3 linked regions of the Neodiprion lecontei genome follow. The protein of the gene in region 3 purifies or fractionates together with the protein of the main gene of each other region. This does not show direct contact. Links are inferred from orthologs where the notes say so. Each region holds a gene or a part of one and is shown on either strand. Other genes may lie near its edges.

Evidence for each region.
Region 1: the proteins of DNA polymerase delta catalytic subunit (region 3) and DNA polymerase delta subunit 3 purify together in Homo sapiens (co-immunoprecipitation; 8 studies listed by BioGRID and IntAct, with this or other methods). This does not show direct contact. The link is inferred for Neodiprion lecontei from reciprocal best matches to the Homo sapiens genes POLD1 and POLD3.
Region 2: the proteins of DNA polymerase delta catalytic subunit (region 3) and MMS19 nucleotide excision repair protein homolog purify together in Homo sapiens (affinity purification with western blotting; 3 studies listed by BioGRID and IntAct, with this or other methods). This does not show direct contact. The link is inferred for Neodiprion lecontei from reciprocal best matches to the Homo sapiens genes POLD1 and MMS19.

Annotation. Positions count from the first base shown.
Region 1 is NC_060262.1:4,435,694-4,441,349, forward strand, and holds DNA polymerase delta subunit 3, read right to left. Parts: upstream 3,052-5,656; 5' UTR 2,960-3,051; coding exon 2,891-2,959; intron 2,596-2,890; exon of another isoform or gene 2,582-2,595; coding exon 1,139-2,581; 3' UTR 1,081-1,138; downstream 1-1,080. Other genes in the region: general transcription factor IIF subunit 2, read right to left, coding at 101-249; WD repeat-containing protein 91, read left to right, coding at 3,293-3,412, 3,682-3,946, 4,033-4,148, 4,233-4,420, 4,517-4,829, 4,913-5,034, 5,113-5,656. UniProt on the Homo sapiens protein: Accessory component of both the DNA polymerase delta complex and the DNA polymerase zeta complex.
Region 2 is NC_060265.1:27,432,623-27,440,773, reverse strand, and holds MMS19 nucleotide excision repair protein homolog, read left to right. Parts: upstream 1-2,085; 5' UTR 2,086-2,127; coding exon 2,128-2,224; intron 2,225-2,516; coding exon 2,517-2,755; intron 2,756-2,878; coding exon 2,879-3,211; intron 3,212-3,325; coding exon 3,326-3,920; intron 3,921-4,001; coding exon 4,002-4,283; intron 4,284-4,381; coding exon 4,382-5,103; intron 5,104-5,226; coding exon 5,227-5,484; intron 5,485-5,627; coding exon 5,628-5,792; intron 5,793-5,963; coding exon 5,964-6,164; 3' UTR 6,165-6,799; downstream 6,800-8,151. Other genes in the region: ubiquitin domain-containing protein 1, read right to left, coding at 1-344, 1,136-1,217; MORN repeat-containing protein 4 homolog, read left to right, coding at 7,057-7,066, 7,239-7,428, 7,533-7,642, 7,821-7,975. UniProt on the Homo sapiens protein: Key component of the cytosolic iron-sulfur protein assembly (CIA) complex, a multiprotein complex that mediates the incorporation of iron-sulfur cluster into apoproteins specifically involved in DNA metabolism and genomic integrity.
Region 3 is NC_060265.1:933,527-939,505, reverse strand, and holds the start of DNA polymerase delta catalytic subunit, read left to right. Parts: upstream 1-2,502; 5' UTR 2,503-2,719; coding exon 2,720-2,769; intron 2,770-3,021; coding exon 3,022-3,127; intron 3,128-3,527; coding exon 3,528-3,560; intron 3,561-3,567; exon of another isoform or gene 3,568-3,834; coding exon of another isoform or gene 3,835-3,999; intron 4,000-4,277; coding exon 4,278-4,389; intron 4,390-4,695; coding exon 4,696-4,868; intron 4,869-4,932; coding exon 4,933-5,195; intron 5,196-5,295; coding exon 5,296-5,522; intron 5,523-5,599; coding exon 5,600-5,766; intron 5,767-5,869; coding exon 5,870-5,979. UniProt on the Homo sapiens protein: As the catalytic component of the trimeric (Pol-delta3 complex) and tetrameric DNA polymerase delta complexes (Pol-delta4 complex), plays a crucial role in high fidelity genome replication, including in lagging strand synthesis, and repair.

The sequences.
Region 1 (5,656 bases), on a different chromosome or scaffold from region 3:
AAACAACCCTCATGATCAAGGGGAGGGTGTGGAGCGATGGAATGATTGTCATTTCTACAATCGTAAACGATCTTCGGTTAATTTAACATTTTTAACAAACTTTGTGATTTTCAGCTTGCCAACTTCTATATCTCCGGAAGCCTTTTCCCACTTGTTCGCAATATATTTAGGAACCTTAACCAACCATACTCCTCGTCCTGCATTACTCAAATCTAATTCTCGGTCTGTGTGAGGAGGCGGTGCAGACATGATACCTGAAAATAAAATATTTCAGTTTCCATTCTCGCATTCATCCTGGCAATTATGGGTCGAACGCTAGTTTCTGTCACCTTTAACCTAATTACTTATTGCATATTGGATACAAACATTAACTATCTCAAACCTAACCAAACTGACTATTAAAGTGGCCAGATTTCAATATTGGCACTGCTTACCTTGTTGCAAATGGCCTCAATAATTATAGACTTTCAGTATTTAACGAGGCGAAATGAAGGGTAATACTCCGTTATACTTATCTTCTGTAAATAACTGTTTAAATAGAGGTAAAATAAATTGTACATACAACAGAAACACTTGCTTCTGATAGTCTGTTGTAAAAATTGAAAGGACTACCTTTTACGAAATTCTGGGGAAATTTAGTTATTATATTTGGCAGCAGTGAGAACGGCTTACCAGAAGAGTCAACGCCGGGCTTTTACACGTATTCAAATATCGCGGTATTATTGTAAACCCCTACCTAAACATATCATGCGCATTTATTAACAAAAATAACAGATTTGTTCTTCGGTATGTACAGTTCTTGTGATTGCACAACTTCTACGTTCTGGATTCGTGAAAAAGAAGAAAGAAAAAAAAAAAGGGGTTTGATCAGGTAACAGGAAAAAAAAGATTACGACAGAAACAAATATAATAGACGTAAAATTTATAACTTTCCATAATTTGATTGTAAAGAAAGCATCGCTAATTCCTTATTCCTTTCCTTAATACGAATCAAAAATATTCTATCTTTATTGCGAGTAATTTCATATTTTCCCGCTGAAATTCAGTAATGTACAGTATAGTTCACGTCTATGACTTGCATATATTCAACGAATATTTTAATTCATCATTACAGTTACATTTTCCACGTATTAGTTAACTACGACTTCTTGAAGAAATTAAGCAGCGATACTTGCTTCCGCTTGTTAGCAGTCTTTGCTGCAACATCAGCGGTAGAAGGTTTTGCAGCCTCTACCGGCATTTCCTCTTCCTTATCTGAACAACTTTCGTAAACGTATTCTTTTTGAGTGACAAAATACCCATCTTCATCGACAAACGTTTTATCGACCAATTTCCGAACTTTGCGCCTCCCGCCTTCACACTTGACCAGAGGTGGCGAAGGAGAACTTTTAACTCTTTCAACAACTTGCGGTGGTTCTTCAGAACTATCAGGTTCCTCAATATCATCCCTAGTCTCGCTGTCATCACTTGATTCGTCACTAGATATCACAACTATACGTTTTCGTTTCTTATTAGTATTCTCGCCCTTTGAAGAAGTCTTGCGTTTTTTTCCTCGTGAAGAAGATGCTACTTTTTTTTTATCGCCAGTTTTCCCAGAGCTGAGATTTTTCACCGCCGATTCTTGTTTGCTAACTTTTTCAGTCTGTGGTGATTTTTCTTCAAACTTTTCTACGTTGGCCTTTTTCGAATCGCTGCAACTCTCCACCTGTACTTTTGCTTCCTTGTCGCTGGTACTTGGAGGCTTTTTCTTTGCTTCAAACCATGCATTCTTTTTCGGTAAATTAGTTTTCGGAGATTTTTCTTTGTCTTCATTAAGTTTAGGCTTTTTTGAATCGCTAATATTCTCCGGATTTTCTTTTGCCTCCTTGTTGTCCGAACTAATAGGTTTCTTCTTCTCCTCGAACCAGTTATTCTTATGGGGTGAAGTAGTTGTCAAACTACTGCTTGACGCAACAGGTTTACTCTTCACACCTTTCACAGATGTCTTCTCCTTGCTTTGCTTATCTATGGCCTTAGCAAAAAAATTGTTGAAGGCAGTTTTCTGTGTTTTTGCACTCGAATTAGCCGCTGCTGTTTTATTTGTGGTCGATTTAGCACCGGACTCCTTGACATTCTTGGCCTGATCAGTAAGCTTCGACTCGGTATTCGCATTTGCCCGAACTTTCGGAGCTGTAATCTGAGTATTGTTTTTCATCTGTTTATTCGCTAACAAGGCGCTACCCCAACGAAGAACTTCCATCTCATGATCAGACCTGAGAACAGACTGAGAAGAGTGGACAGCGCTCAATTGAGAATCGCCTTTGTCAGTAATGGCGAGTAGCTCTATCTCAGGGAGAGTTTTTTGCAAGCTGTAAATATGCTCGGATATTATTTTTTCAAATTTCTCCTTCGCAGATGCCATATGATCCTCTTTGACGACCTCGACTCGCATCTCTCGCTCCTTGACGTATCCCATGAGCAGGAAAGTCGCACTGATTACATGATTTTTCTGCACTCGTTGAGTTTCCCAGTACTCGAATAACAGCTGCTTTGACAAATTCACGTGGATGCCTAACTCCTTGCTCAACCACTTGTAAGTAACCTGTTGACAAATATCTATAATCAAAAATGAGATGATGTTTCAGAAAGAAGGGTTGACGTCAAAAAGCAGTGACAAGAGCAGACAACTTGGAGTGAGATAAATCTCACTTTAACATTTATTGCACTTAAGAAGATATGATCTACGAAATAATGTTTCATATCGTTAGAATTGAAATACGAATGTCAAACTGTAAAATAAACATAAGAATATGTTCTAGACTCAGCTAGGTTAGATTGTAAGTTAACAAGAGCAAATGACAGTAATTTAAATGTATTGTAATATCGCTGAATAATTATCTATAATAATTACTAATTTGTCGTCGTCGTTAATGTAGCCCGCAAGAGCCTCCAAGTAAATATCAATTTGTTTCCGAATCATTTTGTAAAAATGTTGTACGTTTTGTATACTCCGTTATTGGCTTTACGTGAATCCCGCGACAATTTTACTTGCGATACAATTTGAACTAGGGAATTTTTATGACCGACGTTGTGCACACTGATTAAAAACCGCGAGCGGAAAGCGGGCAAAGCAAATTTGTAGCGCTATGTTAGGTTCCATGGTTGCCAAATTAGAGATAATTCGTATGCATCGGAGGGATGCATTCTGCATTGTTGCCACCAAGTGGAAAATGGCTGGGTTATAACAACATAGAGCTGTCATTGTCTCGAATATTGAACAGTTGAAACAAAAAAACTTTCTTATTTATTGAAAATGTCTCATGTCCAGTATGTAGATGAACTCGTTAAGGAATACTTGTTATTCAGAGGGTTTAGTCAGACGTTAAAAGCCTTCGATAACGATCTTAAAGCTGAAAAGGAGAAGGGATTTAGAGTAAGTGATGCATGACGTTTTGCCCCTCTACAATTATTTAACAATAACAGACGAAAACTATCGCATCAAATCATCGATATCTTCACACATACGTATCAGATTAGGATCTTATACAATTATCAATGAGAGATCAAAACCCAAAACGAGATGCAAAACATTCAAATTGCTGCATATATTTAGCGATGAATATATTGCTATGAAATATCACAAATATATACTTTTTCTTTCTCTTCCATTGCTCTTTATAGAAGCAAAATTATTATTTACAGGTTGACAAAATAGTTGATCAGCTGACACAGTACATATACAACTACGATCTAAATGCACTGAGAGAATTATGGGGCCATTTGGATTTGAGAATGTTTTCTCGTCTTGAGAATCATTTCACACCTGGTATAAGAAAGCTGGAAAATGCTGTATTGAAAATGTACCTGGTTAACGCGGCGGTTAACAACAAACAGGATCGTATCCAAGAGTTTTTTATTAAAATGGCACCGGAGCTCCAGGGTCATAGCGAATGGAAGGAATGGTTCGGTAAGAAAAGTGTTTAGCTTTAGTTTTCAGTATTACCAATAGATCATTGACTCGTTATTCACGAAACGAAATTTGTGCATCCACAGCGCTGCCATTTATTAAAAATCCCGAAGATAATCCTGTTTACTCGGTTCACTTCAGCAGGCAGTGGCAAGACACCATGCTCGTTTCGTTGCACAATTTTTTAGCTACAATATTCCAAGTGAGTATTATTCAAAGGATGTGATAAGAGAAGTCATACAAATCAAATCAAAACGTAGATTGTATCTATTTTTTTTTGTCTCAGTGTATGCCGCAGCCGACGTTGCTAGCTATAGATGAAGATTCGGTAAGACTTAAGCGTCTCCAGGAGGAAAATGACACTTTGAAACAGAGACTTGCTGATGCGGTCAAACCAGAGACAATATCGGATGTTAATGCAGGACCTGTACCTCAACATCCACCAATCATGGATGATTTTTATATCATAGCTCAGTAAGAACCAAGATCTCGACATCTGAATCCAACAGAAATAATCTCAAAAATCGGTACACAAGTGCGTAACGATTAAATGATTTTCCTCTATTTCAGAGAATCACCTTTAACAGAGAATCCGAAGACGCTGAAAAACTTGATAAGAAATATAGGTGGCAGCTCTAGTCCCGTACTTGGTAGAAAACCTATAGTGAGTGTTAAAAAACAGATGGAAACTGAACAGATCACCAAGAGACTAAACACAAAATGTAGAATAAATTCGCTAAGCAAGTCAGAAGCTGTTGCCAAGAGAAGTATCAGCTGTGATTCAAGATTGAACAGTTCTAGGAAGAGAGATTCTCCCATAGACGCGGCATTTGAGAGAAAAAATAAAGAGAAAATCGACGCCAGCTACATTCTTCTTAGTCAGGTGAGATTGATGCACAGAAAATAATCGAATGCGAGTGATTTTAAATATTCTTTACTGTCTAAAATGTTCCTTCGTTTTAACAGGAAGAATACACTGAACACAAAACGTCAATTATTCAATGTAAGAGCAACGCAAGTGGTTCTTACGTCGCGACTGGTGACGCAGATGGAGTAATTAAAATATGGACACCGATTCCGTCCCCAAAGTAATCAAGAAAATGCAATATCGTTACAATTATAGCATACATTGCTTATATTTTGCCAACCGACAATTCATTTTCCAGAACAGTCGCCACTTTCACATCAACAACGGTAAATTCCAACAATGCCATAACTGCTCTAGATTGGATATCAAAGAACGAAAGATACTTTTTGCACGGAGACAATAACGGAATAATTCAATTGCACGATACAAGGGATAGTAAAAGATTATGGGAAATCCATCACGAAGGTTCCCGAATTGTAACGTTGATATGTAATCCAGCCGAATCTACTTTTGTCTGTTCGGTGCAAGGTTCGGTGTCAGATTCCAGTGAAGGGAAACTACTGCTCTACGATATAAAAACAAGGAAACTAGAAAGAACTCTACCATTAGACCAAAACTTGACTGCCCTCTGTTCCACGTTCAATCACAATGGACAGCTATTGATAACTGGTCTATCTAACGGTAATATCGTTATGCACGACTTGAGGAGGAACGAAATAATAGATAATTTTAACTGCCATTCAAGTCCAGTGATTGACATCGAGCTGATAAACGACTTCACGAATATTTGCGCCCAAAGCGAAGACGGTAGATTATGTCAAAGAAATTTAAATCAGACAAAC
Region 2 (8,151 bases), about 26 Mb from region 3:
CGAATCTCTACCGCTGTCTTCTTTAACAATATTTATTGGATATGACAAGCAGTAAATCGGAACCTGATATCTAGTTCCCAATTCATCGTAACACTCAGTTAAATATCCATTAGGCACCGAGACATTAGCTCCGTCCAAAATGGCCTGTGCTAACTGATAGTCTTGGGCCTCAGCCGCGGTCGCGCCAGCCCTTAAGGCGTCCCATATTTCTTTGCGGCCGTCAAAAGCTGGCGCGGTATCCCAAAATTCATCTCTCTTGCTTCTGAGTTGACCCTCGGTCAAAGGAACATCCGACTTCCATCTGATCACTTCGTGACAAAGTGGATGGTTTTTTCTTGAATTACCTGCATGAAATTGTAAAAATAAATGGCATAGTTAATATTTTTAACTTCATCTGTGACAGAAAGAAGGATTACAAATACCACGCAAAACTTTTTTTAAATTACGCAAAGCACGAGGTTTGACATTTGCTTTACAATTTTATCTGAGGTGAATACAGATAGGCTGAAAAACATCGTAAAATAATGATTATATACCTGTATTTTTTAACAGATATCAACAAATAGCTCGATCTATTGATTGGAATAACTAATACAACAATAAAAAATAAAAGAACTTGCAGCTTTGTGAATAGGTTTCAATCTGGCATAAAAAATAGTTCAACACTTAGTCTTTTTATTGAAAGAAAATCTATTGAGCCATTGAGGCTATGTTTGGTAGCGTGGATCGAGGTCTGACATTTGTTTTACTATTTAGGTCATAGCTTGACAAGGTTCGAACATGTACCTACATCAGCGAATAGAAATTAAAATCACAGGTAGAAGTGACTAAAAACGAAAGCTACATCGTAAATGAGGAGTATCGAAATTTTTTTTTATTTTCAAACTTTCTTTCTGCTTCTTTTTTTTATTCCTTCGTGATTTCATCGCGCGCAATATACATAATGTTACGAGTCGGTATTCTGGATTGGGGAAAAAAATTGAAAATTAAAAAAAAAAAAAAATGTGAACGTAAGAGACCGCGATCGAGTCCTAAATTGCATTTTGAATAAATTACAGTTTTCATGCGGTGACCCATATTAGGTGTACATGATTTCCAAGGTTAGTTGGTGTTTGTTGAAAATATTGTTTCTCACCTGAATTTGTCCTCGTAGAGTTGCCCGACGTGTCGTCAACAGAGCCGTTCCTAGCCCTTGTTATGCCTATGCAGCCTCCCATCCTAGGCGGCGAAAATAACCAAACATTTCACTGGAATTTACCAACACCTTACATGCCATTTTCGTCCATCTTTACCTATTTTATCATTCCGCCACAACGCGCGCTGCCATCACACAAAACCTTGTTAAAAAATCTCTTGCAGCTCGAACTCCTAGGACGCCTGCCTGGGTTGTTTCCAGTGAATGACGTATATGGTCTATGAAGAGAGACGACGACGTGACGGGAGGGTTGCACAAGATGATAGTAATAAATAATAATAAAAATAAGCGAAAAGAATAGTTTTTTTTTAAAACACGATTGTAAATTACTCCGTAGAAACGCGGACCTTCGACTGGCCGTGTCGTTAAATTTAATAGGCTACAATTACTGCTTTCTGTTTATTAAATTTAACCCGTTAAGATTTAACAGTTATCAAAAGAAAATTATATATGTGGATGTAAAAAGAAAGCACGATAATTTAAAGAATGACAAAATAAATCGTGGTTAGGGGGTGACTGTATTATTATATTGAAATCACGAAGTAATTAATTGTTTTTCAACTTCAGACGTTTCTTTTTTTCTCTCTCTTTCTATTTTATCTTCACGAAGGTTTCCTCATACGCATATGTATATGCTGGAAGTCAGAGATAATAACCTGCGGCGATTTTTCGCATGTAATGTTATTATTAGAATTCATAAGATATCAATAGAAACTTGAATCGTCAAGGACTTTGATAAATTAGACGTCATATTTAAGAATTTGTAGATGTTTTCGTATTCATGTACGCATTCTAAAAATCATCAACTGTGCACGATATTTTACAGGGCCATGCCGCGATGTCGAATAGTGCGTAATTATTCGGCGATCGCCTTTTGTGTTGGTAACTCTACACACTGATCACTCACGGTATTGAAAAATTCAGGGTGAAATATGGAGGTTTCAGCGAGCTCCTCACTCACCGAGAAGTTATCGGCAGCTTTAAAGAACGATAACGACTTGATTAAGGAATGTCAAGATATAGCCTCAGGTATGCATTATCATAATTACTTGACTAATGACGCGCCTGCTGACCTTGAAATATCAGGCAAAACAAACTTGTTGGGACTGAGGTTATCTTCTGTCTCTATCGCTCTGTCTTCATTTCGGAAAATGCATTCCATCAAAATTTTCAAAATGATCAGCTGACATGAAGAATATTCAATTTTTCGTTGGTCCCATATATTTTGTTCAGTAAATAATTATCCGTCGATCAAACCTCATGTTTTCACCTGCGAAGTATCTACTCTGCGATCGATACATCTCTCATTTCATATTTTCAGATATAGAATATGGAAAATTGAAGCTTGTGATTTTCGTTGAGGAACTCGCTCCGTTTCTCACTGACAAAAATGTTACTTCGAGAGCTCAGGGAACGCTTGCGTTGTCAACAACCCTGAAGCACTTGTCGAAAGATTTTCTAAATGAAAATGAGCTAAATTTTATCACAAATTTTTACTGTGATCGGATGAAGGATCAGCATGAAGTTATTCCATCGGTTTTACAGGGTGTCCTGACTATCGTGAGCTCTTATATTCAATATTATGTTTTAAAATAAATATCAATTCTCAGTCATCAATTTTCCTCTATAATTCACAATATGAACCAGTGATTACTAATTTTCACTACTTTCAAAATGTTACAGGTACAGATGAGCCGTTTACCTCAAGATTCGCCTGCTAGATTGTTGAACCTCATGTTTCAGCATGTACATTGTCAGTCACAGCTGCAGCCTATTCGAAAGTTGATATATTTGATATTCCAAACACTCCTACAAAATAGAAAAGATGCCTTACGTTCCATGGGGCCTGATTTTATATACGGAGTAATTTCATCTATAGACGGCGAACGAGATCCAAGAAATTTGATGCTGTTATTTGACATGCTTCCAAATTTTATTCAAGAATTTCCATTGGGCCATTTGACAGAGGAAATGTTTGAAGTTATTGCTTGTTATTTCCCAGTTGATTTCAATTCCGTAAGTAGCCCTAATCATGAAATTTTCAATTTTTGGTTAGTATGAAATTTTAATTCCTGTTTTATAATTATTCGACATTTTTTCATCTTGTAAATTTTTCAATCAATTTTACAGTCTGCATCAGAGGCTCAAACAGTTACTCGTGATGATTTGGCGTACGCCCTAGCACCTTGCCTTTACGCCTCTCCAGAATTTGCCGAATTTTGCATACCTCTCATAATCGAGAGATTAGACTCGAGCTTAAGACTAGCAAAACTAGATTCATTGTATCTTTTACGCAAAGGTGCTTCTACCTATGGAGCCTCAAGATTGCAACCACACCTTGCTGAATTATGGCCAATTATACGAAAAGAAGTCTTCCCAGGCGGGGATATTGAGATGAGAAATGCTGGATTAGAAACTATAACTGAATTAGTTAAAGTGTTGTCCACAGATGATGTAATACGAGACAGTTTCATCGAAAAAGTTATCACAGATACAAAATCATCACTGTGTGACGTTCAATTGAGCCTTTATTGGCCGGCTGAAAAATTGTTGGAAGCAGTCGCTAAGGCAAATAAATTAGCTTGTGCCCAAGTTTTGAAAACCTTTATACCATTGTGCCTTGGTCAATATTCAACAAAGACTTCTTACTCGGATAGAGTTACCTTAACAGAAAGTTTGAATAGTTTGATGGCAATATGCGAAGAGCAGAGATTTGTAATAAATAGTATGTCAATGCATTCAGCTCACATCAAACTTAGTAAAACAATGCACAATTTTTAATCTGTTACGTTACCAAATTTTACAGGTGTGCCCGAACTTGCTTGGACAGATATACCAACATTGTACTTGAATGCCTTAAATACTGATAATATTGAGCTAAAATTGAAGACTTTCTCTGGATTGGCAATACTGAAATCGTCGTTGAGTGACGTGGCCAGAAAACTTCTGTATGAAAAAATTTGTATGGCAGTAGATGATGGAAATAATCAACTAAAGAACACATGCCACATATGTCTGTCAACTTTTGCTAAAATTTATCCAAACGAAATTCTGGGTACCGTTATAAACCAACTAGCTATCAATGACTGTAAGCTTGAGATATTCATTAGCAAATTAACGTACACCACTTTTCTTATAATTAATTTCTTCAGTTGGATAAGACTAATGAATTAAAATTATTTCCAGCAAACACTGATAATACGGTATTTACTCACCGATTGCAAGCCTTATGTGCTGTAGCAAAAATACCAGAATTAGGTCCACAAATCCTACCTAATGTAGTAGTGGTAGCTATGTCTAATAAATTGGAAAAGAGTATCGCAGCACTGTGTTGTTTGCGAAAACTTGTAGCTGGGAGAAGCGATACATTCAGTATACAACATTTTTTGTATAAAAATTGTAACATTGTTGAGTTATTGGTATCAGCAGATACAAGTGGCTGCTCCACTCAAAAATTAAATTTAATTGCATCGATTTGTCGATCTATAGTTAGAAAGTTGGATGTGAAGGACCAACAACAAATTGTAAATAAATATGTTTCAATTCTTAGTGAAAAACTTTCCGAAAGCAATGTGATTGTATTGGAAGGACTTTTAACACCATTGCAAAGAAATGTTGATATTGCTAATAAGGTAAACTTGTTAAAAAATCTATTACACCTTGCAATCAACAGCGTCAGTTCGAGTTCTAAAGAAGTATCAAGTAAATTGATATCAGTATTGATAAATAAACAAACCGAAGACAAAAATTTCCTAATAGTTTTAAATATGCTGAGGGACCGTATCAAAAACATTTTGGAACACGATTCGAATACCGAGCTCAAAGAGTCAGCCATCTTATTGAATACGTGGCTGACGAAAGCTTTGGTTGTCAGAGGAAGCCAAAATTCTCAAGAGTATCTTGATTTCGTAAGTATAAGAAGACGTAATTCAACTTTACTTTGTACCATTTTATGTCACATGATATATTGCATATTTTCTACATCGGAGAATGAAAATTATGTACTAATCAAGATTTTATGTTTCTTATAGCACATAAATTTGCTGAAGGACATGGAAATGGGTCACAATGTTGCAAATGGTTTTAAAACTCTATCTGATAGGTTTGAGGATACTGTGACTGAAGAGAACTTCTGCAATGTTAAATTATTCTACAAACAGAGGATATTTCAGAATGTCATTCAAAAAAACAACGACTTTGATGCACAATCAAGAGAAAACTACCTAATGGCTCTAACACATTTAATCGAGGAAGTTCCAATGGAACTATTGCTCATGCATTTAGAGCCGGTAATATATATTTTATTTAATTTTAATATAACAATAATGATTATAGAGTTTACCAATTTATCACACGCGTGATAATTAATGAATTTACACTGCGATACATCATACTGTTATTTCAATGTGTTTGAATCTTTTTTTTTTTGAAGCTTATCCCACTCCTAATTGAATCCATGGCACTGGACAGCTCAGAGTTAATTCTGTCGACACTAGTGACCCTGAAAGTTTTGCTGGACACAGGGCACAAGATCTTCCATGAGCAAGCACAACACTTTATTCCCAAATTACTGAGTCTGACGAAACGTAGGGAAATGGTAATAATGATTCGCAGAAAATTTTCATAATTGTGCTTAAGTTTTAACTTGAAAAAAATTTGATCTTATTCCAATGGGTTTCATCAGAGTACCTTACCCTGAATACAAGTATCCAGTTTTACCTAAAATCCATGCTAGTTTTCAAACTTCGACTATTGTTTTATTTTTCAGAAAGTCAGAACTGCTGCATTGGAATGTTTGTTGCATTATGCAAACTACCCGACTGTCTTGATTCTACCTTTTAAAACGGATGTCTTGGAGCGATTAGCTGTGGCGATCGACGATCGAAAACGTTTGGTCAGGTCAATCGCTGTGAAAGCAAGAACTCGCTGGTATCTTGTTGGGGCACCAGGAGAACCGAAACAATCTTAACTCAGACGGAATAGCCGATTGTTCAATTCATTATTATAGTTTCATTTACACAAATGAATTTAAGAAAGGAAAATTGAACTTTGCCTGAACAGTCTAGATAGAATGCAATGAAAATTGCTTCCTCAGGCGAGTCTTCCCTGAAGACCTTTATCGTGGTAGCTGATGCCAATGTGTGATTTCAGACAGTTTCTGCCGTTACTGTCTTTTATTTTTGGGAAATTCTATAGATATTGATCTGTACTATAGTATCCAATGTTACCTTCAATCGTCCGTAAGGTACAGGCGAAAGACTTATCACGTAATAATATGATTTATTGCATGAAATCATAGAATAATGACCTATTGCTTCTTTGAAGTATTTCACAATTTTTATTCATTCTAACAACCGCAAATCAAAGTGATTTCCTGTTGCATATTTAACTGGAGTACTTTGCATTTGAAGTATTGCTAAAACGCCCAAAAGTTTTTAAGAATAAAAAAATATTGATACTGTCTCATGTTTTAACATAAAGGTTGTACAGTGTGTTGAAGAGAAGTAGGTACTTGCTAAAGATATGGAATATATGCACATGTCGATTTTACAAATGTCCTATTAAGTGTAGGTATGTAAATAAATTATGTGATTTCTGAAAATTTGAGATTGTTCTCAAGTATGCGTTTATTATGTCAGTTAATAAAGTAACTATTTTTTACGGTTGAAATCAGGTGGCATGGTTAAACGATAGATTTGTGTTTTCATTATATTTCTTTACAATTTTCAATAAAACTTCGTAGGTACAGAATCTATAAAATAACAATCTGCTCCAACTATACCTAATTGAATCAGGCATTGATCTGGAGTAATTGGATTACTTGTGGAAGCCACATTTAATGTGTTTAGTGTGCCGATACAATGGTTGACGGTAAGAGGTGCCCGATATTTCGTCTGTTATATTTTTAAAAAAATTATTCCCCGTCTACAAAGTAGAACTGTAAAAAAAATATTTATATTTAAACTATTCATCATTGCCCTATCAACAAAATTTTTCACAAATTTAGAAACCTAATCTGAATATGATAGCAAAATGTATCCAGCAGGTGGTGTGGCCAAGAACGGTGCTTACAAATATGATGATGGTACAAGGTACGTTGGTGATTGGAATGGCAGGGGTTTGAAGCATGGAGCTGGATCATTGGCATTGGTTGATGGAACTCGCTATGACGGTGCCTTTCAAAATGGCTTGTGTTCTGGGCTCGGTGTTATTGTATTTCCAGATGGAGCAAAGTAAGTTTTGCTTTGATGTAAAAAATCGCTAAAAGTTTGAGTTGTTAAAAATTAGCGTACCAATTAGGTACTCAAAATTATCATCATCGTTTATCAATGTGTAGGTATGAAGGAGAATTCATGCAGGGCTGGTTTCATGGACACGGAGTATTCTGGCGCGCCGATGGCATGAAGTTTGAAGGAGAGTTTCGAGGTGGCAGAGTATGGGGACTAGGTACTCGTCTTATTTATAGAAATCTTCAGACTGGATTATTTTCCAGTATTCATAGATCATAACAGTGAATGATGGGTTGATTGCTGATAGAATAAAAGCTTTATTGCTAATGCTGACAGCGATTTATTAGCTTATTATTCAAATGCATGGTTCTAACTTGCTTTTCGTTTTTTACTAGGTCTGGTAACTTATGCCGATGGTTCACACGGCTTTCCAAGAAACGAAGGCTTTTTTCAAGATTGCAAATTAGTGCGTCGTAGACGATGTCCAGAAATTATTCAAAAAGCTCAAAAAATCTCTATGATGGCTAGAGCACAGTGTAATGCTGCATAAATTCTTGTCATAAGAATATGACTAGTTTGAAAATTTCCGGGCGTATGCAGTTCGAATGAGGACACTATATCGTCCCATCATAGAATCAAATTTACTCCTCATGAATTCAAATAAATACTTGTACTGATCGTAACTTGTGTTTCATGGGTACTTGTAAGGATATGTGTACATATAGG
Region 3 (5,979 bases):
TCGTCAAGCTATATGTATACTAGATCAAAAATCATATAACAATTGACTATATGATTTTTTATCTAGGACATCTGACGATTAAATTATGCAATAAATTATATTTTGATTTCGATCGTAACATTGTGTGATTTAAGATATGGTCATTTTTGGTAGAGTGAGAGTGTCGCACTTTTCCTTATTCAATTTGCATAATTTTTACTTTACCATCAGACGTTTCTGCAGCAAAAAAATCAAACGTACGCCGGTATGACTGTTATGTGAAGCTTATCGTTTTAAAGTACGCAAGCGGTTGAGTACCAGTGATATCACTGTCGGTTAAGCCAACGTCACAAGACTTTGTCGAGAGCCACGAACAGCTGTCGTAACTCATCTATATTTTATTGCCAGCTAATTATAATGCCCTGGAGTTAGTTTTCAAGGATTGAACAAATACGAGAACCGAATGTACTGCCAGTTCAATAAAACAGTGCATCGCCGACTGATGCCGTACGATCCGTCGACTGTGCTGTGCGGAATGCGGAAAAATCTCGCTGAGAAATTCGGACCCCCCTGGTAAAAATTTCTACCAGACAACGAATTTTCATAGAAGTTGAAACATCTCGTGTTACTTCGTACCAAATTGTAAATATGCATAGTTTTTCGCAAAGATATGTCAATCTTCGCTAGAAATTGCAGTATTTTGTACATTTTTTATCGAAACAACACAAATTTTCATGACGATCTACAAGTTTTAATGAGAAATTATGCATGTATACAATTTTGTACGATAAAAATTTTTTATACAAGATCTTACAAAATATCTCAATTTCCCTAAAAATTCGTGGGAAGATTGCAGCAATCATTTTCACCAGGATCATACAACACGGTGTGCCACTGTTCAGACATGGTTCGTACCTCCCGCCTACGAACAGGACAATCGCAATTTATAACGGTCATTGCGTTTATGCCAAAAGACTCACACCGTACAACATACGGCGATAACGAGCCGGTACGTTGGACGCGATACCGAGGTCCCGGAATATTCGGGGTCTGACTTATGACTGACGTGAATCACTGGTCCGCAGCGTCTGACTAACCATGAATAGACTTACCTGCGGTACAAGCAGTAATAGTGAGCAAGTCATCGCGAGGAATGTTACCCTGAATTTTTAGATATCACAATTTTATTTTTTTAATGTTTGACGGTGGAGGGGGGCGGGGGGGCGGGTCATGGGTAGTACTCTAGATCCAGAATTTCGACTACATTCTGCATTGGCTTCGGCCGCCATCTTGAATTCAAGTCGGAAAATATCGATCGTAGACAAAAAACCAAATCAAATCTGGTAGAAATTCTTGATTTAGATTGTCAATAACCTCCCCCCCCCCCCCCTCTTGCCGCCCCTGCCCACCCAACGATTAGAAAAAGAATCTTGTGATATGTAAAAATTGCAATTTCAAATGTACATTCCGACTAAACTAAACTGCAGCCTGAAACGACCGATTCTCGAAACTTTTATTATTCGGAACATAAGTATTCACGTTACACTGCAGAACGTGGGTTAAACCGAGGGTTAAATTCTACGGCAACAGGCTACCGCCAAGCACCGTCGGCGTAGGGACGCCGAATCGATCGATTTTGAACTTAAAATGCAATTCTGTGAACTATTTTACCTGTTCGTTGCGTGTGTGGCCTTTCCCGTTGGCATCCCGACATCGTCGTTTTTTACCAAAGTGAATCAAAATGGCGATGAAAGACGAACGTGGACGATAATTGCACATCGCCGCTCTACGACCTGGAAGAAGACATATTTTTATCCTGAAACAAGAAATGGCAATAAAGAGAACACGAGAACAACATTTCGGCGACCGGGAGAGTAGGCCTCCGTAATCAACCGCTTATTATGAAATCACCCGAAAGATTAAAAGATATTATAGGTACATAAACAGCTAATCACCTAGTGATTACGTTATTCGTGTTATAATTCAACGTGCGGTCGCTCTAAAGTCTGCTCAGGTATGTATTGATTTTTTTTATCTCTCCGTGACGAGCGCCTCACCTCGATGTAAAAATATTCATGCATGAAGTACGGCGCAAACTGAAGTTGAATTCGAATGTTCAGTTGTTTTCTATTTTGAAAGTATGTATCGATAACGACTTTTTATCTTGTCTCCCTGAATTTAGTTGCGAAGGACTAATCAAAAAGGATGAAATTAATCGGTAATTGTTTCGTTCTACCGCGAGCTGCCTCCCACGAATTTTGAAGGCCTGTGCAAACTTTTTTTTTCGATCAATCTATATATCGTTGACTGAACATGCATGTGTCTGTATTCAGTCAACGAAACTGTGCGTTTATCGAAGTTGATTCGGTCGGTAAGAGTAAGATTGTTACATGACCCTGATATTGTAAAATCTTAAGAACAAAGATTCACAACCTGCAATATGTGCTTCCTGAGCCGTATCGCTGATTGTTATCAAATTCTCCTTACTTTTTTTGCTTTTCGACCACGCTTCCATATCCTGCGACGGTGATTTGACCGAGATTGAATTTGCAGTCACTAGATGGTTGCAGGAGACGAAAACGGTTGTCAAAGATGGCGCTAGCTGTCGTAGAATTGCATTCGATTTCAACGTAACCATCGTCAGTTTTCGCGCCATTCGAAACGTGTGCGTACCGATCGAATACCAAAGTTTCTGGAAGAGAATTTATTTTGTCAACGACCAATTCCATCAAGATTTACAATGAATAAGCGGCCTTTTTCCGGCCCTCCGTCCAAGAAAAATAAATTCAGGCAAGCAGATATTGACGCACTATTAACTTTTAGGTTATCCTGCTTGACATCACTCTAATTTTAAAAGGCTGAATCTACCGACAAGCGTTTATCACACAGATAGTATAAAAATTTTGCAGCTCCGTAGTTAATTTTTCCAATACAAAATCATTTTTAAGCAGAAGTAAAATTCTCTTACCCATTTCTTGAATTTAGATCCTATTTCAGTCCATACATTTAAGTAACGTTATTTCACTCATTTTTCTTTAACAGGGTAGATGATGATGATGACGAATACCCAGGATCTTTTGAAGCGGAACTTGCCATCATGGAACAAATGGACGACGAGTTTCAAGACCCGTCTCAGGCCTCTGGGGAGGTATACACAACTGAACTACATAACAGAATGCAAAAAATTCCGTTACATGTCTGGCAATACTTGCTGTGATTGATTTAACAAAATTGATAAAAGTCCTTATTACCATCTTGAATTTCCTAGTCAATTTAAATCTGATGCACTGTGCACAGTCTTTATATTAAATTAAAAGTAAGTAAGGTCACCAATTTGGAATTATGGTATCAAACAGTGCTAAAGATATTCAACGTTCACAAAACGTGCAAAATGTTAAATAAATATTATAATTGTTACTCGGAGAATGATCCCCAAATTTAAATTAACGTCAAATAAATAGTCGTGTTAAAGCAAAAGTACCTAAACAAGGTGGCAAACTTGTAAAATTATTATCTTTTGTCTAAATATCCATAATTTACTCTTTTAGCCTGATCCTGCAGATCCTCAAATGCGAGTGAGAGTAAGTTCTCCTAAGACTTGAGCTCTGTATTGGCTATATACATGTCTTGTTGCTGTCTAATCATGCTTTGTTTTCGCCAGGAAATTCATTCTTCATCGATTTAACTGTTTACTTCACAAAACTCTTTTTTACAAAGAATATTCACGGATTTGAGTATTAAAACTATTATCCCATTATTCTTCGTTGAATATGCTTCCTCAATCCCTCAACGCACCTGCTTGCACCTTTTTGCACGTGCGGTTGACTGGTATCTTATTTCATAGTGATAATCATAATGATAATAATAATAATAGTAATAATAACAACAACAGCAATCATAATGATAATCATAGATAAAGTAACAAATGATATGCACAAGCATTTCACTAATCATATGTGGCAGTACGCATTTTGTTACCAAGGCTGCAACACTAGAACTGCTAACATGTTGCGACGATTTGTACGTATTTTTGGACTATTGTCATTTATATATGATCAAAACATCATACACGTTAATAGTTGCAAAATTTGTACGTAATTTTGGACTATTCTCATTTATATTTGATCAAAACGTCGTACACGTTAATAGTCGCAAAAATTTCATGCCTAAGTATTATTTTGCACATTTGGCCTGTCACTAAATGTTTCTGGGCAGTTGAAATGTTCTTTTAAAAAAATGTCTCATCCTCCATATTTTTCGAAAGTATGCAAACATTCATAAAATCTACTCTCGTTTAGGGCCCAGATCAAGAAAACACCTGTTCCAAATGGAATCGGCCAGACCCTCGGCCATTCAATCCTCAAACAGACTCGCTCACTTTCCAGCAAATAGAAGTTGACCATTATATAGGTAAATTGCTCTTGAAAAATATCACGTTTACACTTTATTCAACGATACACCAGCCAAAACTATTGTGTCAAACGTTACACAGTTTCAAACAACGTGAAGCTCGCATTATTTTACATGCTCGTGACTTCCAAGAAGTAAAAAATACATTCGTACAGGTATATTGCAAATAGCCAATTCCACTTCATCCCCAGACCTGGTGAATGCCTATCTGAAGACTTGCGTGTTCAGTAACTTATTACCCATTTCCCTCATTACGATCGTTTTACGATTCCTCGACTGAAAATTCAGCAAGAAATATTTCTCTAGGGCAGCCGCTGGCTGGAATGCCAGGAAGCAAAATTGGACCAGTAGCAATAATGAGAATGTACGGAGTCACCATGGAAGGAAACTCTGTATGCTGTCACGTGCATGGGTTTTGTTCCTATTTTTTTGTCACTGCGCCAGAAAAATTCAATAACTCTCACTGCAAACCATTCAAGGTAAAATGCTTCGTTCTCGTTGACTGACCATCTTTTAATCAATACGACATCCCCACCATTACAGGACGCTTTGAACCGAGCTGTATTAACAGATATGAGATCGAAAAATGATAAAGTTACAGAAGCTGTACTGGTAGTAGAATTAATCTACAAACAATCGCTGTACGGATATGCAGGCGAGGACTTGGTGCCTTTTATAAAAATCACGGTCGCCCTGCCAAAGCTTGTGGCTCCGTGTAAACGCTTGTTGGAGAAAGAAATGATCTTTCCAACATTCAGCGATCACGTGTACCAAGCCTTTGAAACTAACATCGAGTTTGATATCAGGTTCGCATACAATGGCTGTTATGATTATAGTTAAAGACGCTGCACGTGACTTAAATTAAAGAAAGCCAATCATACTGATCCGTCAATGCTCATGATACAGATTTATGGTGGATACGCACGTGGTAGGCTGTTCATGGATCAAGCTAGTCCCTGGTAAATGGAAATTAAGAGGCCATCCAGGGAATGACTTGCCTTTGACTAGCCGTTGTCAATTGGAAGTTGACGTTGCCTGGGACAATTTCATTGCTCATCCACCAGAAGGAGAATGGGCCAAAGTTGCGCCCTTCAGAATACTAAGTTTTGATATTGAATGCGCTGGACGCAAAGGTTCGTATACAGCGTAAAACAGATGCTGCATTTTGACTGAAATTATTAATTTACACCTGCACGGATTTGTTTGGCAGGAATTTTCCCTGAGGCAAATCACGACCCAGTTATTCAGATTGCGAACATGTTGATAAGACATGGAGACACCGAACCCTTTTTGCGGAATGTATTCACATTGGATACTTGCGCGCCAATTATCGGTTCTCAGGTACTTAGTTTTCAAAAGGAAGCAGTCATGCTGGAGGTAAGTTTCGTAAAATAGACTTGGAAATTCTTTGCGGATATATTCGAAAATCAGTAAACTGTCAACGTAATTCTGGATTTATGGAATGATTTCTTTGCCGAAGAAATGGGCAGACTTTGTAAGACAGTGCGACCCCGATATATTTACCGGCTACAACATCAACAACTTCGACTTTCCCTACCTGATAAATCGAGCACAGCACCTGAAAGTGAA